4 linked regions of the Stegostoma tigrinum genome follow. The protein of the gene in region 1 interacts with the protein of each later gene in a pairwise test. Links are inferred from orthologs where the notes say so. Each region holds a gene or a part of one and is shown in the gene's direction. Other genes may lie near its edges. The genes, in order: ntaq1, pts, gmds and gas7b.

What was found.
Region 2: the proteins of ntaq1 (region 1) and pts interact in binary tests that used the Homo sapiens proteins (3 or more experiments, as listed by UniProt). The two-hybrid records come from large-scale screens. The link is inferred for Stegostoma tigrinum from reciprocal best matches to the Homo sapiens genes NTAQ1 and PTS.
Region 3: the proteins of ntaq1 (region 1) and gmds interact in binary tests that used the Homo sapiens proteins (3 or more experiments, as listed by UniProt). The two-hybrid records come from large-scale screens. The link is inferred for Stegostoma tigrinum from reciprocal best matches to the Homo sapiens genes NTAQ1 and GMDS.
Region 4: the proteins of ntaq1 (region 1) and gas7b interact in binary tests that used the Homo sapiens proteins (3 or more experiments, as listed by UniProt). The two-hybrid records come from large-scale screens. The link is inferred for Stegostoma tigrinum from reciprocal best matches to the Homo sapiens genes NTAQ1 and GAS7.

The regions. Positions count from the first base shown.
Region 1 is NC_081358.1:39,416,489-39,424,141, forward strand, and holds the start of ntaq1 (protein N-terminal glutamine amidohydrolase), read left to right. Parts: upstream 1-4,636; 5' UTR 4,637-4,809; coding exon 4,810-4,904; intron 4,905-5,003; exon of another isoform or gene 5,004-5,355; intron 5,356-5,368; exon of another isoform or gene 5,369-5,484; intron 5,485-6,347; exon of another isoform or gene 6,348-6,848; intron 6,849-7,253; coding exon 7,254-7,353; intron 7,354-7,653. UniProt on the Homo sapiens protein: Mediates the side-chain deamidation of N-terminal glutamine residues to glutamate, an important step in N-end rule pathway of protein degradation.
Region 2 is NC_081375.1:46,560,332-46,567,414, reverse strand, and holds the start of pts (6-pyruvoyl tetrahydrobiopterin synthase), read left to right. Parts: upstream 1-4,080; 5' UTR 4,081-4,192; coding exon 4,193-4,281; intron 4,282-7,083. UniProt on the Homo sapiens protein: Involved in the biosynthesis of tetrahydrobiopterin, an essential cofactor of aromatic amino acid hydroxylases. Catalyzes the transformation of 7,8-dihydroneopterin triphosphate into 6-pyruvoyl tetrahydropterin.
Region 3 is NC_081355.1:14,490,462-14,498,183, forward strand, and holds the start of gmds (GDP-mannose 4,6 dehydratase), read left to right. Parts: upstream 1-4,707; 5' UTR 4,708-4,908; coding exon 4,909-5,013; intron 5,014-7,722. UniProt on the Homo sapiens protein: Catalyzes the conversion of GDP-D-mannose to GDP-4-dehydro-6-deoxy-D-mannose.
Region 4 is NC_081375.1:45,726,669-45,734,129, forward strand, and holds the start of gas7b (growth arrest-specific protein 7), read left to right. Parts: upstream 1-4,449; 5' UTR 4,450-4,771; coding exon 4,772-4,951; intron 4,952-7,461. UniProt on the Homo sapiens protein: May play a role in promoting maturation and morphological differentiation of cerebellar neurons.

The DNA.
Region 1 (7,653 bases):
AGAGTTACAATTAAGCCTTTTTTAATTTTTGTTTTGTTTGTCTTTTAACTCTGGTTCAAAAATAAAGTTTATTTTGCTTAAAGTTGAGTAATTTTGACCAATCAAATTACATCTAGAACACAATGCCTCTTACTTTTAAAGTAACAAGTTAGGGTCTCAGCTATCTTAATATTTGGTCCATAACAGATGTAACAGTTTCCACAGTCAACTGCAAACCCCAACAACTGCTGAGTGAAAATAAAACTCTGGTTCCGTAGGAACCTGATTCCACCCATTCATGTTGCTTCCATTATACTAACGTTTAAAAAATCCCAAGGCCTCATGACTATTTATTTTATTAGCCTGGAGGAGGCAGTTTTTCATCGATACTCAAAACCTCTCTTCAAAAAGACACAGGGCAAAATGCTCCTCTTAAAGCCATAATATCATTACACCTTCCCCTACCCCTTAAAAGAAAAATGAACTATCAATAAACATAGGTGGCTTCATTTTTAAAAACCTTTAGTTTTATACTACAGGAACCAGCTCTGTGCTAGCTGGGCCAGTGTCATATGCTACGCACATGTAAGTAAAAGGTGACTTGGTGATGGGATACTGGTCCTCGTGGAGTTATTTCACCGACAAATGTGGTTTGAATCAACAATATCAGCATGATCACCAACCATCTCATTTGTTTAGCTACTTTCTCACATGAAATGAAAAAGGCTCCATGTCCTTCTCAGAAATGTTCCACAATTGAGAAGGAGACCTTGAGTTTGATGGTGCAACATTTCAACATTTATGTTCCCAGTAATGCGCCTGAGACAATTGTATATACTGATCATAAACCCTTAATGTTTTTTGGAAAAATAAAAACAGAGAAATACAATATTGCCAACATGGAATTTGTTGTTAAAGCCACTTAATTTAAAGATTATATGCATGGTATGACGAGAGAATGTAATTGCTGATGCGTTGTCACAAGTTTAACGAAAGAAAATGAAGGTGTTTGTTGGCAGAAGAAACTGATTGAAATGGACTGTAGTGTTGAATATTTGCACGTTTAGAGTCAATGTAATGTTTGTGTATTGAAGTTCTATGGGAGCCTGACTCCCCTGTTCATGCTGACTCTATTTTTCAACTTTTTAAAAATCCCCACGTCCTCACAACCTGTACACTTTATTGGCTTGGAGGAGACAGCTTGGTGCCTATGGCTCAACACCTCTCTTCACAAGAAGGAGAAAATACACCCAAGGCCATGGTATTGTCACACAGTTTTCTAATCAACTTGTTCAGAGATGTTATTATGCATCTCTGGAATAGGTGGGTCTTGAACACAAGCCTCTCTGTCCAGTGGTAGGGACAAATAAATATTAAATGGAACTGTGAAAATAAAAAGTCTGAGTAATGGTGACCTTGGAACTATTTGATAGCTTTTCTAAAAAATCTATTTTACCTTGTCTTTCAAGAAAGGAAATCTGCTATCCTTACACTGTCTGAGCTTCATGTGACTCCAGATCCATAATGATGTGGTTGATTTTTAACTGGATTCCGATATGGCATTCCATGCCACTCAGTGATCAAGAAGACAGCTTACTGTCACCTTCTCAAGGACATTTGGGAGGGGTAACAAACACTGGACTTGCCAGTGATCATATTTCCATAAATAGACTCATAGTCATAGAGTCGCACAGCCAGAAACAGACCTTTGGTCCAACCAATTCATGCTAAACATAATCCCAAACTAAACTAGTCCCACCTGCCTGTTCCTGGCCCATATCCCTCCAAACCTTTCCTAGTCATGTACTTATTCAAAAACCTTTTAAACGTCGCAATTGTACCCATATCCACTACTTCCTCTGGAAGTTCATTCCACACCCAAACTACTCTGTGTGACTTTTTAAAATTTCTCTGTCTCCTAAAAATGTGCCCCCGAGACGCGAAATCCTCCATCTGAGGGAAAGACAACCACCATTAACTCTATCTATACCACTCATTATTTTATAAACTTCTATAAGGTCACTTCTCAACCTCCTACCCTCCAATGAGAAAGGTTCTCCCCAATCTTCATAATTTTATTAAGTTATACAGTAGAGGCAATTTCACACATATCCCAAGTGTTCTTTTAGGGAGCTCTTGATTTTCCTAAAAAGGTGGAATAGGTGTGTAATGGTGGAATTCAATAGCTAGATTCACAAGGAATTGAATAAATACTTTGAAGAAAAATTTGCAGAGCTAAGGGGAACAACTTAATGAGAATAATTTGTATAGGTGCTTCAAAGGGACTGCAGTAGTAGAATGAGCTGAATAGCTTCCTGTACTGTATAATTCAGTGGTACTGGGTACCTGAAGCTGTCCAATTTTTAAGGTATATTGTACCTTTTAATTCTTACACCCACAATCTTTTGACTGTCCCTTTTCAATAAGTCCAGTTGATGCCCTTTTTTTACTAATAGTCAAAATATTACTGCAAACTTTGTTTTAACCGATACCTTATGGCCAGCATTTTTGATAAACCACTAAGAATTATATACCTCAAATATAGGAAGTTTACTGAATTATCACAATCTCTGAGTAGTCAGTCAGTTCAGGGTGTGAGAGGGCTCTCTGCCAGTAAGGTTTATTTCAGGCAAAGTTGCATTATTATTTAAGTGATTTATGCTGCAAATAAGTAGAACAGCGATGTGTATACCGCCGCATTACATTTCTATTAATTAGTGAGAGTTTTTATATTGATTATGTGGACCTCTTGATCAACTGGAATATTTAGTCAACTCACACGCTCCTGATCCCATAAGTGTCCATTAATAAAAGGTTTGCTGTAGTCATCCTGTCTAACACAGAGTCCCACTGCAGGAGAATGAACATGTAATCTCAGTACCTTTCCCCAGGGCAGGATTGACTGCCACGAGGGGTCATAGTTTTAAGGTGTTAGGAGGAAGGTATAGAGGAGACGTCAGAGGGAGGTTCTTCACCCAGAGAGTTGTGAGCGCATGGAATAGTTTACCAGTGGTAGTCGTGGAAGCGGAGTCATTAGTGACATTTAAGTGACTGCTGGACATGCACGTGGACAGCAGTAAATTGAGGGGAATGGAGGTTCGGTTATTCTATTTTTGCTTAGGATTATTCCACGGCACAATATCATGGGCCAAAGGGCCTGTACTGTGCTGTACTTTTCTATGTTCTACCTCCACACTACTGCACTGGTTGACTATCTTCATCATACAATGGTCTCATCTATGCTCCAGTTAAATGTAAATGCTCACCCTTGCACTATTTTGTAGGGGTGTGTGGAATTAATGACGGATACTTATCTCTCCACTAACATCACTAAAACAGATTTTGCAGTTATTATAACATTGTTTAAAGATTTTGCTATATCCAAATTGACTGCTGCAATTCCTACATTATATAAACCTCTCCATCTTTCTCTCCTCTTCATGTTCAAAACCTATCACTTCACATTAGTTGACATCAAACTTCCAATTTTCTTAAATACCTATGTTTGTTCAGTGCTACTCCTTTTTGTTTCAATTTACTTTCTCTTTGGTTTCAGTATCTTAGACATGTCTGCCTGGGGTCCAATTGTTTCTTTGACAGTCTTCATGAGAAAACTAATCTTCAACTAGAAATCTGCAGACATCTACAAGCACACCACTGGGTTCAAAGGAAGGGACACCATCGCTGTAACACAAGATCAGCTAACCCTATAGTCTCAAAATTTCTCAATGTCGTGATTTGAACACACAACTTTTTGACACTGCGTCAGGCACAAAACTGCTGCACCACAAACCGAGTTGTAAATTATGAGAGATAATGGGAACTGCAGATGCTGGAGATTCCAAGATAATAAAATGTGAGGCTGGATGAACACAGCAGGCCAAGCAGCATCTCAGGAGCACAAAAGCTGACGTTTCGGGCCTAGACCCTTCATCAGAGAGGGGGATGGGGGGAGGGAACTGGAATAAATAGGGAGAGAGGGGGAGGCGGACCGAAGATGGAGAGTAAAGAAGATAGGTGGAGAGGGTGTAGGTGGGGAGGTAGGGAGGGGATAGGTCAGTCCAGGGAAGACGGACAGGTCAAGGAGGTGGGATGAGGTTAGTAGGTAGCTGGGGGTGCGGCTTGGGGTGGGAGGAAGGGATGAGTGAGAGGAAGAACCGGTTAGGGAGGCAGAGACAGGTTGGACTGGTTTTGGGATGCAGTGGGTGGAGGGGAAGAGCTGGGCTGGTTGTGTGGTGCAGTGGGGGGAGGGGATGAACTGGGCTGGTTTAGGGATGCAGTAGGGGAAGGGGAGATTATGAACCTGCTGGCACACGTCCACGAACACATAGCTTCAGGTGTGACTACAACCAAATTTTCCAGGCCAGAGGTAGAGACATGACCAGGATATCCATAGAGTTAAAAGCAACAATTGAAGGAAAACGTGAATGAATTCAACGCCTACTCCCCATATCAACCTAATACAATTCATATTGCTAATTGAAGAAAGTGCATAATTATTTCACACTGTTACGAAAGACAGGTTTTAACATGACAGCTTTACGCGTCAACGTATTAAAACACTTCGTTGAGGCAGCGGAGGTTGCGCACGCAGGCGGCAGTATCCCAAACGTCAAAGAAAGCGAGGCAGTCTTCTTCCGTGTGCACCTGCTATTCCTTCCGGCTTCCTGTTTTGGTCCTAATCCCCGATGAATGGTTCCTAAGGTTGTAATCCCATTGGTTCTTACCTTGAGCCAGTTTTGTTTGAATGAATTCGCTGTTTAGTATTATGAATGAAAATTTAGGTATCCTGCAATTTAGTTTCTAATTTGTCGTTGTTGCGAAGTTGTTATGAGTATCCCAAACCCTGAGAGGTTAGACCCAGGAGGTAAGAGCCAGATCTCAGCCATTCGAAAGGAGGATTGTGTGTACACCAGCTGTTATTGGTAAGCAGGCCTTACTGGGAAAAAATGGTCTCAGTTATTTAATGGGGGTGTAAGTCCCACAAATTGTGCGACGTTTTCCATAAATTAAACGGAAGTTGTGTTATCAGTGTATTTTTTAAAAGGAAAATCACTACTGTGATCTGACGTGCACTGGCTGAAAGCGCAGCGGAAGCTGATTCAAATACTGTAGGGACTTTCAGTAAGGGATTGGACAAACATTTCTAAGGATAATTTGCAACGCTACAACAGAGGAAGAGAGTGGGATTGATTGGGCAGTTTTATTCAAAATTGCCGGCCGAGATATATCGAACTGAATGGCCTCCTTTGCTGGAATAGTCCCTAAACGTTACCTTCTCCCAATCACCTGATCTTGACAGCTTTGGATTTATTTCTCCTTTTAGGGGGAAGGCCAGCTGTTTGGGCCCTATATTCTGGAATCGCTTCCCAAAACGTATGCTTCTCTCCTTTAAAACCTACCTCTTTGATCAGGACTTTGGTCACCTGTTCTATTTTTTTCACTGGGTGCTCAGTTTCAAATTTTATTTAATAATCACATCTTAAGCGATTTTATTTTGTGAAGGTTAGTACTTAAAACTTACAACAACAGTTTATTTGTACTTGTCTGCACCTGCCTTCCCCTACAGGGTTGCTCTCCGACGAATCAATGGAGGATTTTCACATGGTTTTGTTCTGCTATGTCAGTGTAGATCCTTCTATTCAAATAGCACTTGTTTTGAGCTGAAATTAGGAATATGCAATATAATTGCACAAATGTACTTTTTCTTTTGAAGGATTGTTCATAATTTACTTTTAGGACTAAACAGTTATTTATTGTCAACCTGGCTTTTAATGCTGCTAAAGTGTAATCAGCATTGATCAAGCTATATAAGTTATATTGTTAGCAGTTAAAGTATGATTGAAAATATTTAACTGCTTTCAGCAATACTCTAATAGACTGTAAATTCCATTTTGCAGACAAGTTGTATTATTTTTCTTTTGAGTCTCCGCTCCCAAGCAGCATATTTCATTTTCTTCCATGTGGAAAGACAGGTCCAGGCTCAACTCTGTGACCCTTGGGTTTAGTACACTTCTGGCATCTTTCTACCTTCCTACAAAGGCCAGAAAAATGAGGTATCAAAAGAGCACTAGAACCTCTACAGTCCAAGTCCAGCCATGAGAGCAGATTTCAAAAAATAAAAAGAATACAAAACTTAGTTTGTACTTGTAATTGTAGAATATTGCAGAACTGAAGGAGCCCATTCAGCTTGTCGTTGTTTGTGCTTGTTCTTCTAAAAAGTATTCTGCTTGGTCCTACAGCCGAGTTTTTTTTTGTCTGTAACCCTGTAAATTCCTCATCACTAGGTACATGTCAAAATCTCATTTTAAAAATTAGTTTTGGAATCCTTTCTGTGGTTCAGCATTACAGAATCTGACAGCTGTGCGAGTAGAAATATCTTCCTCATGCCCCTCTGCCTCATTAACTAATAAGTTTAAATCTACAACCTCCGGCTATTGACTCACTTCTCAGAAACAATAATATTTTTATTGACCATCCCAAAACCTCATCATCTTAAAAGTCATTTTTTGAATTCGATCATGGGGATGGCCAGCATTTGTTGTCCATCCTTAATTTCATTTTGAGTAAGCGGTAGTGAGCCACTTCCTTGACCTGCTGCATTGCTTGGTTTGTGGGTACAGTTCCGGTATTTTGACTCAGCAACTTTGAAGAAACAGTGTTATTGTTTCCTGTCAGAAGCTAAGTGGCTTGGATTGGAACTTGCAGGTAGTAGTATTCCCAAGCAACTGTTGCCCTCGTCATTTCAAGTGGGAGAGTTTGTGGATTTGGAAGGTGCTGCCAAAGGAGCCTGGTGACTAGTTGTAGTGCATTTATTGGTGGTACACACTGCTGCTGTGCATCAGTGGTGAAGAGAATGAACTTTAAAGGTAATGGATGTGATATTAATCAAGCGGCTGCTTTGCTGTGGATTGTGTAAGCTTCTTTAGTGTTGTTGGAGCTGCACCAAGCCAGGTAAGTGATGAGTGTTCACCACACTCTCGACGTGCCATGTTAATGGTGGACAGGCTTTGAGCAGCTTGAAAGTGAATGATTTGCTGCAGAATTTCCAGCCTCTGACCTGCTTTTGTAGCCATAGTATTAACTGTATATTTAGCCATCTCTGTTCTAAAGAGGATAGTCCTGACTTTTCCAACTCCACCGCGCAACATACATACATCATTCACGCCTCTATGCCCAAAAGCGGTGCCCAGAATATTGTAGCATTTGATTTAGACAAAAAAGTGAATATTTTTGCAATAAATGTTCACATTTATATTAAAATATGTTCTTAGTGAAGAAAATATATGGAAGCTTTGTGAATACATAAGGAACAGAAGACAATATCCTCTGGAAGAATGGTACACTGTTTTCGTGTCAAATGACCAAAAGATGGTAAGTGCAATCTACAATTGAATGTACGTTTTATTAATTCAAGGTACAAGAATTTCACCAAATTCCTGCTTTGTCTGTATCATAGAATCACAGAACTGTTGCAATATCAAAGGACATCTTTTAGCCCATTCTGTCTGCTGAGGCTGTCCAGTTAATCAGTATATCTCATGTTACCCACCAACCTTCACCCTGTACTTGCACAACCTTCCTTTTCAGATAATAATCCAGTTTCCTGTTGAATGACTCAATTGACCTTGCCTCCACCATGCTGTCAGGCCGCCAATTCCAGATCTTAACCAC
Region 2 (7,083 bases), on another chromosome or scaffold:
CCCTGTCAAACTGGAAGTAAAATTCAATCATATTGTGGATGTTGCTACCTAGGAATACCTTGACTTTGAGGTCATTAATTAATCAAGTCTAATCTAACCTGTTCTGTGATAGTGTCTTACAGCTTTAAAATCAATCTCGAAAGCATCCTATGAACTCTTCATCCAGGCTACAACTGCTAATCTGATTTTTCACATTCATAAGTAGATTAAAGCCACTTGTGCTTATTGCTGGCATTCTATCATATGCATCCAATTTTTTTGACATATTTTGTCCCACCTTGTGGTTACATTGAGGCACACCCTTGAAGCATTGGGTACATAAAATTAGGCAGTGGGATATGTAGCTCAAAGATTGATTGGGAGAAGTGGGTTTCAGTGGGTGGACCACTGACACCAACCCTGGGGAGACTGAAGGCTGTACAATTCAGACAGTCTACACCTGAACAAAATAGTGAGGGCAAGGGATCAAATGTGGAAAGATGCGGGATATCAAACAGTAGGGATAAAGTCTGTCGGAACCTGGTAATATGGGAAATAGAGGCAGAGAATAGTAGGAAAGGGCAGAGAGGATAAAAACTTCTGGTCTCCCTGCTATGGGAAAGATGTTGTGAAACTTGAAAGTGTTCAGAAAAGATTTACAAGGATGTTGCCAGGGTTGGAGTGTTTCAGCTATAAGGAGATGCTGAATAGGCTGGGGCTATTTTCCCTGGTGCATCAGTGCCTGAGGGGTGACCTTACAGAAGTTTATAACCTATGAGGGGCATAGGTTTAAGGTGAGAGGTGAAAGATTTAATGAGACCTAAAGGGCAACTTCTTACAAAATTATTTTACATCCTGATTTCCTGGATCAAGTTCATCTTGAACGATTGTACAAATGCCATCCTTGATTAACAGTGCTATCAATCCAGCTTTGATTAGCTTGCTGTTTTTCCTGATTGTCATATTACCTCTCAATATTCAAGACCTAATCGTTGTCATCCTGAAGCTCTGCCTCCATAATTATACTCAGATCATACTTATCTACTTCTGTCTATGCCATCAATTCATCTACTTTGTTCTGAATAGTACACAGGTTAGGCTTTTCTTTTGTTATTTTTGTAATGTCTAGTCTTGAAGGTTTCTGTATTCCCAGGTGGAGTGATTGATTTATTGTCATGTGCACCAAAATACAGTGAAAAGCTTTGTTTACGAGTGGTACAGGCAAATCACAGCAAGCAAAGGATGTAAAGATCAAAAAGACTTAGGGGCATACAGATTACATTGTAGGTTATATTATGTGAGGCTACAGTCCATTCAACAGTCTGATAATAGTCAGAAAGAAGCTATTCCTGCACTTGCTCGTGTGTGTGTTCAGCCTTCCGTATCATTTTTCAGTTAATTCAAGGGTCATAGATTCATACAGATGTACAGCAGAGAAACAGGTCTTTGGTCCAACTCATCCATGCTAACAAATAAATTAATCTAGTCCCAATTTTCAGCATTTGGCCCAGATCTCTCCAAACCCTTCCTATTCATATGCCCAATGAAATGCTTTTTAAATGTTTATAGTTCCACCACTTCCTCTGGCATCTTGTTCCCTTAAATCTTTCCCCTCTCACCTTAAACCTACGCCATCTAGTTTTGGACTCCCTATCCTGGGATAAAGGTCTTGGCTATTTACCATATCCATACCCCTCATGATTTTATAAACATCTGTAAGGTCACCCCTTAGCCTCCAATGCACCCAGGAAAAAAGGTCCAGACAATCCAGTCTCTTCCTATTGCTGTAACCCTCTAAGCCTGGCAACATCCTTGTAAATCTTTTCTGAACCCTTTCAAGTTCACAATGTCTTTCCTATAGCAGGGAGACCAGAAATCTTTAAGAAGTCTTTATTCCATCTTACCCTACCTGCTATTATCTGACGTTCATCTCCCATATTACCATGTTCTGACATAGTTTGTCCCCATTCTTTGACATACCACATCTTTCCATGTTTGATCCCTTGCCCTCACTATTTGTTCAGGTGTAAGCTGTCCGAATGGTACAGCCCTCAAGCTCCCCAGGATTGGTCAATGGTCCACACACTGAAACCCATCTATTCCTCTGATAATAAAATGTGAGGCTGGATGAACACAGCAGGCCCAGCAGCATCTCAGGAGCACAAAAACTGACGTTTCGGGCCTAGGCCCTTCATCAGAGAGGGGGATGGGGAGAGCGAACTGGAATAAATAGGGAGAGAGGGAGAGGCAGACCGAAGATGGAGAGAAAAGAAGATAGGTGGGGAGGTAGGAAGGGGATAGGTCAGTCCAGGGAAGACGGGCAGGTCACGGAGGTGGGATGTGGTTAGTAGGTAGGGGATGGAGGTGCGGCTTGGGGTGGGAGGAAGGGATGGGTGAGAGGAAGAACAGGTTAGGGAGGCAGAGACAGGTTGGACTGGTTTTGGGATGCAGTGGGTGGAGGGGAAGAGCTGGGCTGGTTGTGTGGTGCAGTGGGGGGAGGGGACGAACTGGGCTGGTTTTGGGATGCGGTGGGGGAAGGGGAACATTTTGAAGCTGCTGAAGTCCACATTGATACCATTGGGCTGCAGCGTTCCCAAGCGAAATATGAGTTGCTGTTCCTGCAACCTTCGGGTGGCATCATTGTGGCACTGCAGGAGGCCCATGATGGACATGTCATCTAAAGAATGGAAGGGGGAATGGAAATGGTTTGCGACTGGGAGGTGCAGTTGTTTATTGCGAACCGAGCAGAGGTGCTCTGCAAAGCGGTCCCCAAGCCTCCACTTGGTTTCCCCAATGTAGATGGTAGCCACACCGGGTACAGTGGATGCAGTATACCACATTGGCAGATGTGCAGGTGAACCTCTGCTTAATATGGAAAGTCATCTTGGGGCCTATAAACAATAAACAACTGCACCTCCCAGTCGCAAACCATTTCCACTCCCCCTCCCACTCTTTAGATGACATGTCCATCATGGGCCTCCTGTAGTACCACAATGATGCCACCTGAAGGTTGCAGGAACAGCAACTCATATTCCGCTTGGGAACCCTGCAGCCCAATGGTATCAATGTGGACTTCACCAGCTTCAAAATCTCCCCTTCCCCCACCGCATCCCAAAACCAGCCCAGTTCGTCCCCTCCCCCCACTGCACTACACAACCAGCCCAGCTCTTCCCCTCCACCTACTGCATCCCAAAACCAGCCCAACCTGTCTCTGCCTCCCTAACCTGTTCTTCCTCTCACCCATCCCTTCCTCCCAACCCAAGCTGCACCTCCATCCCCTACCTACTAACCTCATCCCACCTCCTTGACCTGTCTGTCTTCCCTGGACTGACCTATCCCCTCCCTACCTCCCCACCTATACTCTCCTCTCCACCTACCTTCTTTTCTCTCCATCTTCGGTCCGCCTCCCCCTCTCTCCCTATTTATTCCAGAACCCTCTCCGATGAAGGGTCTAGGCCCGAAACGTCAGCTTTTGTGCTCCTGAGATGCTGCTTGGCCTGCTGTGTTCATCCAGCCTCACATTTTATTATCTTGGATTCTCCAGCATCTGAGTTCCCGTTATCTCTCCCATCTATTCCTCTCTCTATTTTATGTACCCTATACCTATTTGCACGTGGCTCAGGTAATAATCCAGCAATTACAACCTTTCTGGTTTTGCTCTATAATTTAGTGCCCAGCTCCACATACTCCCTGTTCATAATCTCCGAGGTCTAACTATTCTATTGGTACCTACGTGAACTACGACCGCTGTATAGAGCAAAGGTAGGGTGGCATCACTGAACTTAACTGAGTTTCAACTCTTTTTTTTCGTTCTCAAGGTTTGGTACAGAAGATATCACGGAGGTAAACGCAAATGTATTTACAAAGGTGGTCATATGTCATCTGATGAAATGTCATGTCAAGCCAAACTTGACAAACGTCTGTCAATCAAATTTGTTATTTTTTTTCCAAATTAAATATAAATGAGAAAATAACTTATGAATTAAAAGTAAAAACAACGTATTTACATTTTCCCTAAATTGTTTTATTTTCTATTTTAAAAGCCACCTTTACAGCAACGTGAAGGTGTTGGATGTGGATGTTTGGGTTTGGAAAGATGTGATGGTCTGGCGGAAGTGAGTGCGACGTCGGGTGGCTGCTGTGCTGTGCGTGGCTTCTAACCTGTCGCATTGAAGCTGTGTTGGTCCGTGGAGATCAGATTGTTGCTGCACTCATGGAAGTGGGAGAGGAGCCACCGAAACCCATCAGGACCGCGCTGGTGACGAGAGTGGAAAGCTTCAACGCTGCTCATCGCCTCCATAGGTAAATAAATAAAAAAACTGGCACCATCCCAGTGTGGACGTTGTAAGTTTCACTTTCACTGAGAGCAAGAACATAATATGGAAGCTTCAACGGTGAAACGTGCTCAGGAAATGCGCCCCGTCTATTGTGGTTTAATTGTACATGGGTTAATCGGTCTTATTTAACCATCTCTTCATGACATTGTTCCAAACAGAAACTCTCTTTGCGCAGGATCTCTCGCGTAGGGAGGTTGGGCCCTGGTTCTTCGTTGCTTTCAGTTCCGTAACCGCGTGTGAAATTGACAATTCACAATCTCGCTGAGGTCAGAGGTAAATGCCGGGTCTGAGACATTCCCCCACCCCGGAACCGCAGCTGTAACAGGTCCTGTTTAATTCGGCGTAACCCATTCCCGGAATTATTGCATCCTGTTTCGTAACAGGCAAGCTGTGTTGTAGGAGCCCTGGATTTAATCAGTGATGTGGATTGGCTCAGTACTGTGAGCCTCACTGTTTGCCTCACGTCCGTACGTCCAGGCAGGCCTGTAGTGTAGCGGGATAATGGGAACAGCGGATGCTGGAGAATCCTGGAGTGTATTCTGTTCTTATGAGAGACTCACATCTATCCCCAGCTCTGTGACAAGGCAACTGTGTCAGTGACCCCTCGTCGTGCACTCGGCGCACTGGAAAATCCACTTATTTACATCCGATTTATTCACTCAGCCGCTTTAAGACGTGGTCTTTCCATAGAAAAATCTTTAAGGCGAATCTCTCAACAGCAGCCTGCAACAATAATACAGCTCTCCGGACATAGCCAAACATCACCGAACTGTTTACACGCAGTGTTATTAACCAGGCACTAACACTGAGGCACCTGAGAAGATAACAGGGCAGATAATCAAATAGTTTGCTCACTTAGCGTTTGATGCTTACACTAGGGGGTCAAAACCTAACGAGATATGCCCATTTATATCGCTATGAATTAATTATTCTAACTTGGACTGCCATGGCTCAATAAAGACCTGCAGTCTAAAGATGTGCAAGTTAAGTGGCCATGCTAAATTACTCATAGTATCCAGGATGTGCAGGCTAGTTGGATTAGCCATGGGGGATTGTGATAAGGTATGGGGTTGGTCAGGGTGGGATGATCTTTGGAGGGTTGGAGTGGACTCGATAGGCCATATGACCTGCTTCCAAACTGCAGGGATTCTGTGATTCTAATTCAGACAATATGCTTGTCTGATTCACATTGGTCCATGTAGAAGATTCACCATTTCAGATTGCATCATTGCAAATTCCTGTGCAATATCCCACTATAGGTTTATGGGCAAGTGTAAAGGTCGCAAACAAGCAGCCTTTTTTTAAACTATCTAGAGCATTGCATTATGAATGAGTATTATTCTGCCACTTGCTGGAACCATGATTAATCTTACCAGTCTTGTGGCTTTATAAATGCTCTCTGAAACCTCCAATCATTTACAGATTAGTAATTGTCCCATAATGAAGTTTGAAATCTGTCTAGTTCTTAAACTCTTGAAAAGAGGGCTTTGTTTCAGTTATGGATGGTTAAACTCAAGTAGCTTTGCTACTGTTGCAAAGAAAGATTGCGGGTCACAGAGGACACATCTTAAAGCCAGGATATCCAGGGGTTTTGTGACCAATTTATCATGTAGCCAAACAAATATTTGTGTTCAATATGGTGATGACAGTAATGTTTATACGGGCATGATGTGTGAGGGGAACTTGGCTTGTTTTGAGGAGACTGCTGGCTAATTCTTGGCTGCTTCATGAAGTAATAATGAAGCAGGAGTGAAAGAGTAATTGGACCAGGAATTTCTGAATGACAGACTGGGACATAGAGGTTTGCAAAGTACAAGAGGGCAATACACTTGAAAATACACTGAAAGTACTGCTGCAACATATTCAAACGGTTTGTAATCTCAAAACAGCTGTCTTTCTTAGCTGGTGGTTCATGCTTGGGTTAGTTGTAACTACACTAGAGCCCAATATTTTCTTTAATTCATTCATGGGATGAGGGCATCACTGGCTAGGCCAGCATTTATTGCCCTATCCCTAATTGGCCAGAGGGCAGTTATGAAGCAGATATGTTGCTACAGCTCTGGAGCCACATGTAGGCCAGACCAGGTGAGGATGGCCGTTTCTTTCTTTTTCATGAGTGAACCAGATTGATTTATCCAACAATTGACACTGGCTTCATGGCCATCATTAGACTCTTAATTCCAGATTGTATTGAATATAAATTCCACCATCTGCCATAGTGGGATTTGAAACCAGGACCCCAGAACATTTTCTGCACTCTGGATTAACAATCCAGCAATAACATCACTAGACTGCTGCCTCCCAGCATTCAGTCCTCACGCTCCAATTTTTTTCAAAAAAAACACTGCATGGGATTTGGGCAGTGGCTTGTTTGGTCATTTTTAGATATCAGTTAAAAGTGAATTGGAGTGATCTGGAGTCGTGTGTAGGCCCAGCCAAATAACAATGGCAGAATCCCTTCCCTAAAAGACACCAGTGAGGTAGGTGGGTATTTACAACAACAGACAATGTTTGCCATTTGACTTCTTCATTTTAATTTATTTTTCTTTATTAAATTCAAGTTTCCACCATCTGCTGTGGCACAATTCTCTCCTATGTCCCCAGAACAATCGCCTGGAGTTCTGGATTACCACTCCAGTGACATTACTACAATGACACCATCTCCCCAAATAAATAAAGCATTAAAGTGAACTCCATAATTAAATGTCTGCTTTTAATTTTCTTTTTAAAAAAAAAATGATGGCTGTGTTCACAGTAGGGCTTGTAT
Region 3 (7,722 bases), on another chromosome or scaffold:
CCCCATACACGCTTCCGCAGTCGCCCGAAGGCGCTACTTGCTTTCGCAAGGCGATTGTCGACATCTCCTGTGACTAGCATCGTTGGAGATTATGCTTCCCAGGTATGTGAATCATTCGACCGTGTTGAGGGGGTGGCCGTCGATCGAGATTCGAGGGGGGTTGTATGTGCTGCATGGTGGATTCTGGTACAGGATCTCCGTCTTCTTCAGACTGATTGTTAGCCCGAAAGCCTTTGCAGCTTCGGAGAAGAGTGTCACTGCAGTCTGTAGCGCATCTTCTGTGTGTGTGAGTAGGGCACAGTCATCTGCATACAACAGCTCCATGATGGGCTCCCATGTTGTCTTCGTGCGAGCGAGGAAGCGATGCAGATTGAAGATATTGCCGTCCAGGCGGAAGTGAATATAGATGCTGTTCGTGATGCCCTCCTTCGCTTCCTGCAGCATCATGTTGAAGAAGATGGCGAAGAGCGTTGGTGCCAAGACGCAGCCCTGCTTCATGCTGTTGCTGATGAGGAACGGGTGTGATAGGTCACTGTTGTGTTTCACCTTGTCACTCTGGCCTTCATGAAGTTGCTGTAGGATGGTTAAGAGCTTCCCCAGGATTTTCCATAGACCGTCGCGGCTGACAGTATTGAAGGGTTTGGTGAGGTCAATGAATGCCGCGTACAGTCCAACATTCTGCTCACGGCATTTCTCCTGAAGTTGGCATAGTGCGAAGATCATGTCGGATGTGCCTCTGTTCACTCTAAAACCACATTGACTTTCTGTCAGGTCGTCCTCCGCAATGGTGGGAATCAGTCTGTCCAAGAGGATTCTGGAGAGAATCTTCCCAGCTGTAGACAGCAGAGTGACACCTCTGTAGTTCGAACAGTCCAATTTCTCACCCTTTTTCTTATACAGAGTCATGTAGATCAGCTGGCACCTCACCTTGTTCCCAACAGAGTGCAAATAGGTTGGTGAGTTCATTCAGAGCAAAGCTCCTCCTAATTTGTATACTTCTGCAGGAATTCTGTCGATACCAGGGGCTTTGTGGAGTTTCAGCTTAGAGATGGCGGATTGAACCTCATCCAGCATTGGTGGACAGTCAAGTTTGGATCTGATGTCCTGCTGCGGGATTCTCTCGATGGACGCTGTTTGTACTTGGCGATTGTCCGCGAAGAGGTTCTCGTAGTGTTCTGTCCATTGCTCCATAATGGCTTCTTTGTCAGTAAGCAAACTGGCACCGTCAGCAGAGCGCAAAGGGGCCTGAAGTTGGCGGGTTGGTCCATACAACGTGCGCAGAGACTCATAAAAAGCTCTGGTGTTTCCAGAGTCTGCATACTGCTGTGTTTGTTCTGCCAGTTTTGACCACCAGTCATTTTGCATCGTTCTGAGGTTGGCTTGCAGGGTACTGCACGCAGCTGTGTATTCTGCTTTAGCTGTTTTGTCGTCAGATCTGGAGAGCAAGGTCTGATGGGAAGAGCATTTCTTCTGGAGGACAGTCTGTATCTCAGTGTCATTTTCATCAAACCAGTCTCTGTTCCTCCTAGAAGTGTATCCAGCCACCTGAACAGCTGTATCTCGCATTGCAGACTTCAGGTGATCCCATGTCTTTCCTGTGTTGCCATCTGTGTCCGATGAGTCCTTGGATTTCAGTCTCTCCTCTAGCTTGGACTGGAATTCGTCACAAAGATTGTGGAGCTTGCTTACGTGGATTTTCTTGCAACACGGTCCTCTCTTCTTTGTCACTGGCTTGACTACTAGTCTTACTTTCATCTGTACCAGCCTATGGTCCGTGTAGCAGTCCGCACTCGGCATAGCTCTGGTCTGTAGGCCGTCCGATCTATCCCTTTGGCGCACTAGGACGTAGTCCAGGAGGTGCCAATGTTTGGATTGGGGATGCTTCCAAGTCGTCTTGAATCTTGCTTTCTGTTGGAACAGTGTGTTTGTTACCACCAGTCCAAGTTCTGTGCTGAGCTCCAGAAGCAGCCTCCCGTTGTCATTACAGCTTCCAATGCCATGCCAACCCAGGACTCCGGGCCATGCCTCTGAGTCGTTGTCCACCCTCGTATTGAAGTTGCCTAGGACAATGAGTTTGTCTTTCGTGCTGACGTTCAGGAGGAGAGACTTGAGCTGGTCGCAGAAGGCTTCTCTGACTGCGGTCTCAGTTTGCAGTGTGGGGGCGTAGATGCTCACAAGAGTGGCAAACTGGTTGGCTTGTAGTGGGAGTCGCAGGGTCATGAGGCGATCTGAGTGGCCGATTGGTAGGCTTTGGAGCTTGTCGGCGATTGTCTTCCTGGTCATGAAGCCTACCCTGAGAGTCTGTTTTCGGTGCTGCTTCTGCCAGGCCAAAACAGAGTGTAGCCTGCACCATATTTTACCAATGAACCTTGGTCTGCGAAACGGGCTTCACTTAGAGCAGCGATATCGATGTTCAGCTGGGACAGTTTGCGTGCGACGAGGGCCGATCGTCTTTGCCGGCATTCGTTTGCTGGCGAGTCTTGCATTGTGCATACGTTCCAGCAGGCTAGCTTGAGGTTTGTTGACCACCATGGAGTTCTGAGCAATTACACAGTTGTGCTCCTGCTCTACACTTGGGGTGAAATCTTCTCGATGTCTGAGCAATGTGATGGGAAATGTGGTTGAATCGTATGGGAAGTCAGTCAAGCCCTATCTTGACAGCAGGTGCAGCGCGCTGCGTCTTTCATGCATTTGCCAATGAGGCGGGTTTCTCATCTGGCAGCCATGAGTTATCATAAGGGAACTACATGCTCATTAACTGCCTTAATGATGCCGCAGCTCACCTCATTAATATTCAGCATCAAATCTTACCAAGTCAACTAGTTGTCAAGAATTCTCCACATGGAAGACTAAGTAAGTCTCTGGTGACTTCAGAATGCCATTGGCTGCAATCAACCACCACTTTGCTCAGTTACAAACAGCATCTCAGAGCACAATCCATGGCACTATCCTCATGCATACCTCATCCACAGATATTAGCATCCATTTGCCAACTCCTCATGACCATTTGTAACACTCTTCTGATCCATTTGCAGGCCTCTTAGGAAACAAAGACTTCCACAGCATGGTGCGCCAGCAATTGGAATCAAAAACGTCAAGACCATCTCACACACTCAGTCAGGTGTCCAGCTCGTGCATGGGATCAGACTGGCATTTTGGGAATAAAAACAGAAGTTGCTGGAAAAGCTCAGCAAATCTGGCAGCATCTGTCGAGAAAAAATCAGAATTAACATTTCGTGACCGGTAATCCTTCCTCAGAACTTAAGCTGCCACTCACTGCATGAAAAAGTGTCCCCATTTTCAACTGCATGAAATCTGCAGCCTCACATGTTAGATCCAACTACCAATGGGAATTACTTTTCCAACATCCATCCACACTGCTCATGATGTCAAGCCTCCAACTGTAATAACACTATATGATTTTGGAGCAGAAGCAGGCCATTCAGCCCATTGAGTCTGCACTGCCATTCAATGGGATCATGACACTAGAAGACCTGTGAACAATCAATCCTTGTGATGCATTGGCAGCGTTCCTACGTCTGGGCCAAGAGGCCTGAGTTTAAGTCCGAGCTTACTCCAGGTGTGTGTAAACAACATCTCTAAAAAGTAATATTTGGAAACGATTCTATGTGCTCTCGTAGCACAATGGTAGTGCTCCTTCCTCTCGACCAAGAGGTCTGGGTTCAAGTCCCGCCTGCTCCAGAATGGACTTCTCTGAACAAGTTGATTAGAAAGCCTAAAAAAAAATCGACGGAGTGAAGAAACTGGACGTTAGTTAGCTCTTCTTTCTCTCCAACAAATGCTGCCAGACCTGCCGAAACTCTCCAGCAATTTCGGTTTCGGTCTGTCATGACAAAGCCACCTACTCTGCAATGGAGAGAGATAATGGGAACTGCAGATGCTGGAGAATCCAAGATAATAAAGTGTGAAGCTGGATGAACACAGCAGGCCAAGCAGCATCTCAGGAGCACAAAAGCTGACGTTTCGGGCCTATAGACCCTTCATCAGAGAGGGGGATGGGGTGAGGGTTCTGGAATAAATAGGGAGGGGGGAGGCGGACCAAAGATGGAGAAAAGAAGATAGGTGGAGAGGAGACTATAGGTGGGGAGGTAGGGAGGGGATAGGTCAGTCCAGGGAAGACTGACAGGTCAACGAGGTGGGATGACGTTAGTAGGTAGGAGATGGAGGTGCAGCTTGGGGTGGGAGGAAGGGATGGGTGAGAGGAAGAACAGGTTAGGGAGGCGGAGACAGGCTGGGCTGGTTTTGGGATGCAGTGGGGGGAGGGGATGAGCTGGGCTGGTTGTGTGATGCAGTAGGGGGAGGGGACGAACTGGGCTGGTTTTGGGATGCAGAAGGGGAAGGAGAGATTTTGAAGCTGGTGAAGCCCACATTGATACCATTGGGCTGCAGGGTTCCCAAGTGGAATATAAGTTGCTCTTCCTGCAACCTTCGGGTGGCATCATCGTGGCACTGCAGGAGGCCCATGATGGACATGTCATCTAAAGAATGGGAGGGGGAGTTGAAATGGTTCGCGACTGGGAGGTGCAGTTGTTTATTGCGAACTGAGCGGAGGTGTTCTGCAAAGCGGTCTCCAAACCTCCGCTTGGTTTCGCGTGGGTGAATAAGACCGAAGCGCATTCACCCACTTGTGCATGCACCTCCCGTGCTGGTGGGGTCGTTGTCTCTGGAGGAGAGTGGCGCAGACGCATATGGGGCTGGAGTGGAAGGCGGCCTGTTGCTAGGGGCGGTACCGGCACTTTTCAGACGGTTGCCAACCGAGGCTGGGGCGGGGCGGCGGCTTCCTTCACTACGCGGAAGTGCGAGTAGGTACACGGGGACGTGGAGGTGAAGTGAAACGAAACTTGTGAGATTCAGCAACGAGCCCCGGGGGAGTCCACGCTGGCAGCGATGAATGAGCATCAAGCGGCGGCGGGAGGTGACAGTCCGGCCCCATCAGTTGGAGATGCCGTCGGCAAGAGGAAAGTAGCCATCATCACCGGCATCACTGGACAGGTACATCACTCATTCACATGCCGGCATCCAAACTGTGTCTGCCAAATAAAACGCGGGTGCTGGAGATCTGAAACAAACGCAGAGAATGCCGGACCCACTCAGCAGGTCTGGCAGCCTCTGTGGAGAAAGGAACGCTTAACGTTTCGAGTCCAGTTTGACTCTTCTATGGAACTAAGTGCTCATCGGGATCTGCTCCTCACTGACTGGTTATGCAGCTCGCTCACCGCCCGTCCACCCCCGCCTCACGTCCAGTGCTCCAAATAAGTTAAAATTCTTCTCTGAACAGGTGTCATGTGTAGTTGTAGGATTTCTTTGCATGGCGTCGGTTTTATGAATTGACGCCGTTACAAGTTTACCTCATCTCACTGTGGCAGGTGCAACATGTGTAACCGGTTTTGTGTTTGTAGCATCTTGTTTTATGATATAAATGTAGCTTTATCTTACATTGTGATACATTGAGTGCTGAAGTGCTTGGGGGTGGGAGGGATTTAAATCTATTTGTAAAGGGAGAGGTGCAGCAGGGCACAGCAGTGGAGTGAAGCCAGGTGCTTATCAAAAAGCACACATTGTCTTTATGCAGACCTTAACTTATAATAAAACATCTCAAGGCACTTTAGTGGAATGTAAAAAAAACAAAATATAACATCATGTGGAGATATTAAATCAGATGACCAAAACCTTGGTCAAAAACGTCTGTTTAAAGAGTGTCTTAAAGGAGGAAAACAAGGCAGAGAGTAAGGTGGGAACCAGGAGTTTAATTGCCTGACAACTGAACTTAACTCCCTGTCAATGTCTTTTGGCACCACCCTGCTTCCTTGTGAGGAAGAGGCACCTGGCATACGTGCCAGACTCCATATTCCCGTTACAATGCCTCTGACCCTGAGAACAAATGGCTGGGATGATAGAGTTGAAGTATGTATATGTCTCCAGCAGATCCTGAAATGATGAGCCTGAGACTTCATGCCAGCTGCCAACCTGTCCATGGATGCAGCCAGATGGCTGCATGCTTGAGACTGGGGCACTATTGGTGTGGATGCACCCTACAGCCTCGGGATGATGAGTTCTACATTCCTTCTGTTGCTCCTGTTCCTCCCATAGACCTCTCCTGCCTGGGGCTTAGCAGGTGCCTGATCACCAGTTCTCCTTTGAATGCTAATGATCTGAGGCACTTCTTCCACAGCTAGCTGCAGAACTGTCACAGTGAGCTGCTTACCAGCTTGTGCTCTCAAACATTCTAAGGCTGACATTCTTACTGAGGTGTTGGTATCTGAGCTGATGGCAGTGGGGGATGCAGCCTTGCTGATGTTTCCTTTGTGGCATTGGAAATCTTTTCCTGAGAGGTCAAGGAGGTGGCATCTGGCAGAGTGGGCCACTTCTCAACTGGAGTTGTAGACTGAGATCTGCAACAACAAAAAGTGAAAAATAGTTAGTTGCCAATATTTAGTTATGTGCAATGATTGACACTGGCAATGGGGTTAATTTGAGAGTTGTAATAGAGTGAAGCATAGCCCTTGTTTGGCAAGTATGAATGCCTTGGTGGCTTTGCAGGAACACTTCCACCTTCTCCAGCAAGGGACAGATTTCCCTTATCATAGTGGGTGAGGAGCCTGATGTTGGGTGATTGTACATCGATCGATGCCTTTTTTTACCCTTTAGTCAGCTACTTTCTCCTGGAATGAGAGAAAGGGAGAGATTGAATGATATGAAAGTGGTTGGCATAACAAAGCCATTGGTACTGGCGTATGAGGTGGCATATCCCTGTTGGAGAATTGAAACATTGTTTTCTCCATCTTTGACATCTTTTGTTCAGTCATTGAGCAGGTCAACTTTGGGATGCCGGTGCTTGTCTGAGTATGCAGCAGTCTTTTAAATGTGGTGTATGCACCAAAGATGTCTAGTGAGTTGAGAGTTCTTCCAGGAACGGTGAATGATAAAAAGGGACTAAAATTGGAAGGGGGGGAGGTGCCATAAGTGTGGGTAGGTAATTGATAACTGAGTTTGGTCAGTTATGGTGCGAGATGTCACTAGATGTTGCAACAAAAAGTTTTCCAAGAAGTTGATGAACCTGAAATTTAAAAAAAAACCTGATTGAGCCCACAGTGTAATTTTACTGAGGATCAAAAATGAAAGGTAAAGTTGAGAATTTTGTATCAATAGGTAACAAAGATAAATGGCAACATAACGAAGCATTGTCGTATTAGCAGCTAAGATATTTTCTAATCAACTTGTTCAGAGATGTTATTACGTGCCCCCAGAGCAGGTGGGACTCAAACCCAGGCCAACCAGATGGCCTTTTCCTGACAGTCGACAATAGCTTCACTTGATTATTAGTTTCCAGGCTCCTTTTTAATTTGGATTCAAGTGCCTTCATTTGCCATAGGTGAGTATCAAACCCAGGTCCCCAGAAGATTATCTGCATCTCTGGATTAATAGCCTTGCTGCAATGCCACTAGTCCATTGCTTCCCCATTTTGAAACCAGACCAATACAAACAAGGTTGATTAGTGACAGGTGCAAGTTACTACATGGGATAATAAATGAGTATAATGGAAACCAATTTTAAAGATATCAGCAATAAGATTCAAGATCAAAGGTAAAGGCCATATTCTGGAGTAATAGGAAGGGAATATGGTACAATAGTGTTCCAGTTCTACAAAGGGACTATATAACAGGGTTCAAGGTCTGAATCTATTTGGATAGAGTTAAGGAA
Region 4 (7,461 bases), on another chromosome or scaffold:
ACATTTTCTGAATTGAAAAAGGGCTTTTCTTATGTGACTTGTTCAGAATGAAGCCAACTGTTTAAAGTGCATTGTGGTTTGCCTGCTGTTTAATGAAAATCAAGTGACTTTGGGAAAAACAGCTAAGTAAACTTTCAAGGAGATGAAAACTGGATTTAAATGCCTTAATTATTGGAAAAACTTGGCTTTGAAAAGCCTGGCAGGGTGGGGAATGGGAGGAAGGGTGGCTGCAGGCTAATAGTTGCTTGGCATTACATTCTTAATTTGGAAATTTAATTTTACAGATCCAGGAGCCAATAGAGAAGACATGCCTTAGAGAAGCAACAAGGGTCTTACTAAAGAAGCATTCCTTCTTTCTGGATGGTAGTACCAAAAAGAAACACTTGGTCATTTTCGTAATTGAAGCAATATATTTTTACTAATGCTGTGACTGAAGATGTAGTGGGAATGGATCATCAGTGCATTTCTCCCATTACAGTCATGTTATTACTTTTTGTCAGTCTTATTTTACCCTTTATGCTTTCAAATAAACAGATAACTCTAGATTTTACAATACCACACTTTACCTTTGTGGGGACGTGTCCACACCATGCCCCTAGAATTTCGATATCAATTGCATCCTTGTTATTTCCTGATTTACCTTCAAGTAGCTGCATCCAGTCCACTTTCACCAGACCATCTATCAGCTTCATGAAATTTGTCTTCCCTAAATTCAAACTTTTATCCTTTATCTATGTTTCCTCTTTTTCATAATGATGTCAAGTCCAACTGTATTGTGGTCTCTGGCTCCAAAATTTGTCATCTACTGCTGATTAATCCACTTGTCCAGCTTTATTTCCTAGGTCTAAATCTAAAAGCGTGCCTCCTTCTCATTGGGCTTGTCACATGATGGCTAAGAAAGTTCCCATAAATGCAGTCCAGAAATTTTGTGTTTAGATTAGATTCCCTACAGTGTGAAAACAGGCCTTTTGGCCCAACAAGTCCACATTTGGAGCATCCCATCCAGACCGATCCCCCTATAACCCACGCACCCCTGAACACTATGGGCAATTTAGCATGGCCAATCCACCTAGCCTGCACATCTTTGGACTGTGGGAGGAAGCCAGAGCACCTGGAGGGAATCCACGTAGACACAGGGAGAACGCGCAAACTCCACACAGACAGTCACCCGAAGCTGGAATCGAACCTGGGTCCCTCGCGCTGTGAGGCTGCAGTGCTAACCACTGAGCCACCGTGTCACCTATGTTCCCTGGGCCTTTTGCATTCTTCATATCCCAGTTGATATTAGGACAGATGAAATTTCCAGCTATTATTTTCTCATTGTTTTTGTATTCAGAAATTGGTCTGTGCATTTGCTCTTCTTTCTCTTTTGCCCTATTTGGTGATCTAAAACACAGTCCTAGCAGTGTGGCTGCCTCATTCTCAACCGATATGGTCTCATTTCATGAATGTTTAGCATATCATCCTTTCTCACATCTGTAATGGAATACTTAACCAGCAATGTGCTGCCCCATCTTTGTTCACTCTACTCTATCTAGCTTGACAATTCTATATCCAGGGTAGTGAGAGGCCAATTTTACCTCTCTTTAAGTCAAGTTTCATGAATTGAAATGTCATCATGCTGCCATGCATTTATCAATGCCCTCAGCCTATCAACTTTATTTGCTGTACTCATTGCACTTACATATAAATAAAGTTAACACTGCCATACTGATGTGCTGCACACTTTCAGAGCAGGGAAATACTGTGGGTGATGCCAAAGCTGGACAAGCAGGGGGGGATCTCCCTGTTTGCTGAATTGGTCACCTCCTAATCTGTCATTGGGAGACTGCCTGGGGGCCCCACAGCCTGTTGGGCCTGGAAAATTCCAGGTCGGTTTCCATTAACGGACTTCAATAGGACATTAAGTGGAGCTGTTGGCCAGCCCGATGCTACACTGCCATCCTGGAAAAATAGTCTGGGATTCAAAATTTCTCACCCATCCCCATTCCCAACTGGTTGAGCATTAAAAATATAGTCCACAATTCCAGAAATACAGAAAATCTATGTTTATATAGTTATAAATGCTAAACAGACAAGAAGGAAGATTTTATTACACAAAATATATGTTTTTCAAATAAAGACTTAATATTTTCAGGAGAAAAATTTGTTGTGGCTCCTAACTTTATTATGACTCTACAGAAAAACAGAATGTGAAAATGATAAAGAAATTAAGAGACAATGCACCCAGAACTAAGAAGAGGCCTCCATCAGGAAATGATTGAGTTTGGAAAAGATTGAGGAGATCTGATTAGCAAGCCTTTAAATTAGGATGTGAGAAACAGTTTCTACGAATGAGTGCAACACATGGGGACGCGAACACAAGATATGAACTAACTAATTGATCAAATACGGTATCTAGGAGGAAGATGGGTGAGATTGCGTATCTACAGGCATGAAGAAAGGTTGTAATGTTGTGGATAGTATTGTTAAATTTAAGATGCAGCAACAGAAATATAGATGGTCTGAGCAGGAGTAGGCTATTCAGCCCTTCAAGCCTTCTCCATTGATTGATTTGCTTTATTGCCGCATGTACTTAAATATTGTGAAAAGTTTTGTTTGCGAGCAGTACAGGCAGATCATAGTAATAGTGTAGAATGGTTATTAGTCATGTTAGAAATGGATCTGCTTTAGGGAGCTCACAAGGAGTTGCCCAGTGTTGATGCCATCTTAAATCCATCAATTCAATATGATCACGGCTGATCATTGAGATCAATATCCTGTTCCGTCTTTCTCACCATACCTCTGATCCTTTTATTGATTGATTGATTGATTTATTGTCATGTGTACCAAAATACAGTGAAAAGCTTTGTTTATGAATGGTACAGGCAGATCACAGCAAGCAAAGGATGTACAGATCAAAAAGACTTATTAGAGGCATACAGGATATATTGCAGGTTACATCATTTGAGGCTAGAGACCATTCAACAGTCTGACAATGGCTGGAAAGAATCTGTTCCTGAAGAACTATACAAAGTTTCTTCTTGAAAACATACCATGTTTTGGTCACAACTGACAGAGAATCTCCACAGGTTCACCACTCTCTTGGTGAAGTAATTTCTCCCAATCTCAGTCTTAAATAGCCTACCTTAGGCTGTAATTGCTGGCTCTGGGCTCATTTGTCGTCAGGGACATCCTTACTACATTTATCACATCTAGTCCTGTTAGAATTTTATGAAATTCTGAGACTTTCATTCTTCTACACTCCAGTGAATTCAGTCCTGGCACCCCAGGAACCAATCTCATTGCACTCGCTCTTAGAGCCAGGACATCCTTCCTCAGGTATGGAGACCAAAACTGCTCACAATACTCCATCAAAGTCCTGCATAATTGCAGCAAGACATCCCTGCTCCCGTACTCAAATCCTCTCTCTGTGATGGCCATCACAGCATTCGCTTTCTTCACTACTTGCTGCCACTACGTGCTTACCTTCCGGCGACTGCTTTGGGGACACCTCCCGCTCTCCCAATCTTTCGCAATTCACATAAGAAACCGCCTTCCTGTTTTTGCTACCAAAGTGGGTAGCCTCACGTGTTTTAAATCCCAGTGGTCTCATTGTTTCAGACAACCGCCTGTAAATTTAGGTTTGTTCGCAAGACAAGCGAATACAGGGAAGGAAAAGCGAGATTCCCCAACACCCTCAACAAAAGCTCTTAAGAGTTTAGAGGAAGAAACTAAGTTTCTAAATCCCATCCTGAAACTCTGGCGAGAATTTTGATTCCCACATAATAACAGCAGAACTGTTGCTTGTCAATCAAAGGAGCTGATCTCAGCAAATCATCTCCATCTTACTGCGCGGGCAAAGTCACCTGAGTGAAAAAGAGAAGCTAAGACAGTGATTGAGAGAGTACCAGGGACTGGGACAGGTTAACACTGAATCTGTCACGCGTTCTCCCACTGTCAGACATGTCTCCTGCGCAGAACTCGTTGAAACGGTTCTGTAAGTAAGAATGGGTTGTGGGGTTCAGGGGGAGGTAGAATCTATAATCGGACAGCAGGAGCAGTATTGCTACATACGGAAAGGAAGAATTATATTTTTGAAAGGAAAATCAACGGCACACGATGTGTATAGGCAGAAGGTGTAATTATAATTCACGTGTACTTTTGTACCTATTTAAAAACATTAAAATCTCTGAAGAGAGGAGTCGGGTCTGATTGAGGAAGTAAAATAATAAGATAACGAATTATCAAATCCTGTTCTCCAGAAAAACAAAAAAAGACTCCTCTGAGCGTCATGTGGAAATTATGTGCGTTGTTTTCAGTACGATATAGATTGTAACTTACTTCTGTGGCGCTGCTAAATGTTTACTATTAGTGCCTTCTTTACTTGGAACAATGCTCCTCCCCGCCCCCCCTCCGGCCCATCACTAAACACATTGGAATGAATTACAATGGGAGAGAGCTATCAGCTCGTTTCCTTCCCGTCAAAGCGCCACCATCCAGAACTGCAGCAGATTTCATCCAAACGCCAGCAGCGAGGAAATATCAGAACTGCAGCACTTTTTCCTTCTCTCTTCCTCTGTCTCTCCCTCCTTGTGAATCTTATCCGTCCCCTCTCGTGGTGATCTCAGCACTGAGTCATACCGTGAGTTGGAGGAAACAACGATGGACTCCTGAGCCTAGCGTCAAACCCAGCGCGGGGAGAGAGAGTGAACAGGGGAGAGGCTTCGAGCTTTTCAGCGAGAGAGCTCACAGCGGTCACACGTAAAACACCAAAACCAAGGAGTCTGCTATGGCCGGAGTTCTGTGCAAAACTTTGTACGCGTTTACCGGCGACCAACATCAGCAAGGGCTGAAGTTCGAGGCTGGGGAGATCATCAAGGTTTTACAGGTGCTGAACGGCGGATGGTGGGAAGGAGAGAAGGATGGGACCAGGGGTTGGTTCCCTGCAAGTTATGTGGAAATTCTAGAGGTAAGCACGCCACAAACATCTGTTAACTCCACCAACCCTGGGACTAACTCCCCCCCCCGCCCGCCAACAACGGCTCTGGTTCTTTCCCCCCCCAACCTTGAATCGCTCTAAGTGCAATTTTGTTGCAAAAACGGATGGGAATTGCTTTGCTCCGGACGAGAAATATGAATGCTATTTCATTGAAATGGGAGTTCAGAGTAATTGTTTGTGTTGTATATCTTTCGAACCTGGCTGCTTTATATTTGTGGTGCGAATCAAGACTGATATCAGTAAGGTTCACACACACACACACACACACACACACACACACAGCAAACTTAAAGGAAGAATAAATGAGTAAACTGTCCGGAAATTGTGACACAGTCTTTGGAAACTGACATTTTGAGGGAGAGCGGACAATGGAAATGAGATTGAATACAGATGTATTAGAAGTTTGGAGGCTGCGATTCAAACTGTCACAGCCAATGAGGGTGGTGTTGTGCTTTACGGTGTTTAACAGCCTAAAGTCTCCTTGTTCGTAAACTGTTCTGTGATAGTGCTCGCTTGTCTACTTGTTTTGAAATCTGAGGATCGATATGCTTTCAACACCGGATATTAACATTTCATTTTCCGCTAGGGGGCATGTTGCAACACCAAAATGTGGAGAAATCCTTGAAAAAAATGTGTAAGCGGGAAATTGTTAAGACTTTAATTTTGTGATTTGTTAAATGTAACACAATTTTATACCTGTGAAATTGGGTTCTTAAATCACTAACTCACTATTTTCAATCCTCTAATTTATATTAGTTGAATAAACTCAAATTCGAACGAAAGCTGTACGTTTATCTAAGGGGATCTGTCGGATTTGGTCTCCGCTGTTAGAATGAGTCACGACATTGATCTTTCAAAGAAATCTTTAAAAAGCAACAGTTTGCACTACCCACAAAAAAAATACAGTGATGGTCTTTGAGCTCATTGCATCACTGGATGTCAGTACTTTTACACTGGAACGCTTGGTTTGATAGTGTGTGATATATACATTACTATTAACTTTCTAAATGTCGAAGTTCTGAAACGTATCAGTCCAAGACTTTTATTGTGATCACTATCAGAACCTTATTCTGGTTGGCAACATTTATAGATAACTTCTCAGACCAATCAAACCGCCTGTCTTTGACCCGCAATGCTGTTACTCTAGTGTTCAAAGAGATTGTTTTTTTAAAAAAACAGTTTTTTTTGTCTCATTCATAGATAGCCTGCGGTAGTGTCCAGGTCATTAATTAGTGGAGACTCGAGGACAATCCGAAAGGGTTGGCAATGCTACGCTGTACTGTCAGACTGATTAATGCCCAAGCCCAGCACAATAATAATATTGGCAATTATACGTCCGCTTGCTATCGTTGCAAAACCATGTTGTGCAGGTTTTAACAAACTGTATCTAGCTGATAATTACGTGCTGATTTTCACACTGCCTAGACTGGTTAGCAATTTCAATGACGTGCAGGGTAGCTTTATTTAGTTTCTTACAAAAATTATGCTTGTTTGATGCATAATTTCACATAGTTCCCATGTCTCTTTTCTGTAGGGACTTATATCGGTGTTGATCTGCTTTGAGGTAACACATTATGTACAAGGCATACGAATTAGGGCTAGAAATCTCTGTTTATGAAGAAAGCGAATTTGAAGATAGGAAGGGCATTTAATGAAGTGGGGTGATGGTAAATTTAAATCCCACTGCCACCTTTTCTGTCCCTGAATCAAGTTATAGGGGTAAACACCCCTCTGGACAAACCTGCTGCTCCACTGCTAGTTGAGGCCTGTAATTGACTAATTGACCACCATCTAAGAGCTTCGGCCTGTTTGCCCTGGGATTGCAGGCCTGTCACCAGATTCTGTTCATAATAGATGCCAACCTGTAAGTAACCTATCTCTGCTGTTGGACAGGGTGGTGTCCCTTGATCAAAGGTAAGTGATGCCTAGTTGAGGGAATGGGCAGTGCTTGCCAGCTGGGAGCTAACTCCCAGCCCTTGCTTTCTCAAACCCTGCCGTACATTTGACCCTGACCAGTCTGAATACAGCCTGAGAAACCACTGCCCCCTCCATCAGTTATCTTCTTCTTGAGTTTGGGTTCTCTATGATCCTGAAATTTCAGGTTGCTACACTCCCAGTGGCCACAGCCTGCTTCATGGTGCTGTGGCCCCTGATTGACAGGCAGCCCTTACTCAATGTGAGTTTCAACTCAAATGTCTTGTTTCCAGGGGAAGGCCTGTCATTGACCTCAGCACCTGGTGGTCCTGTGGTTTGGTGCGGCAGCCCTGCAAGAGGTAATGGTCAGACCTCTAGCCAGTGCTCCAACCTCGAGCGACAGGGTAGTGAAGAAAGCATTTAGTATGCTTGCCTTTATTGGTTCGTACATTGAGTATGGGAGTTGGGATGTCCTGTTGCAGCTGGACAGGACATCAGGCCACTTTTTAGAATACTGCATTCAGTTCTGGTTTCCTAGTATTGGGAAAAATGTTGTTGAACTTGAA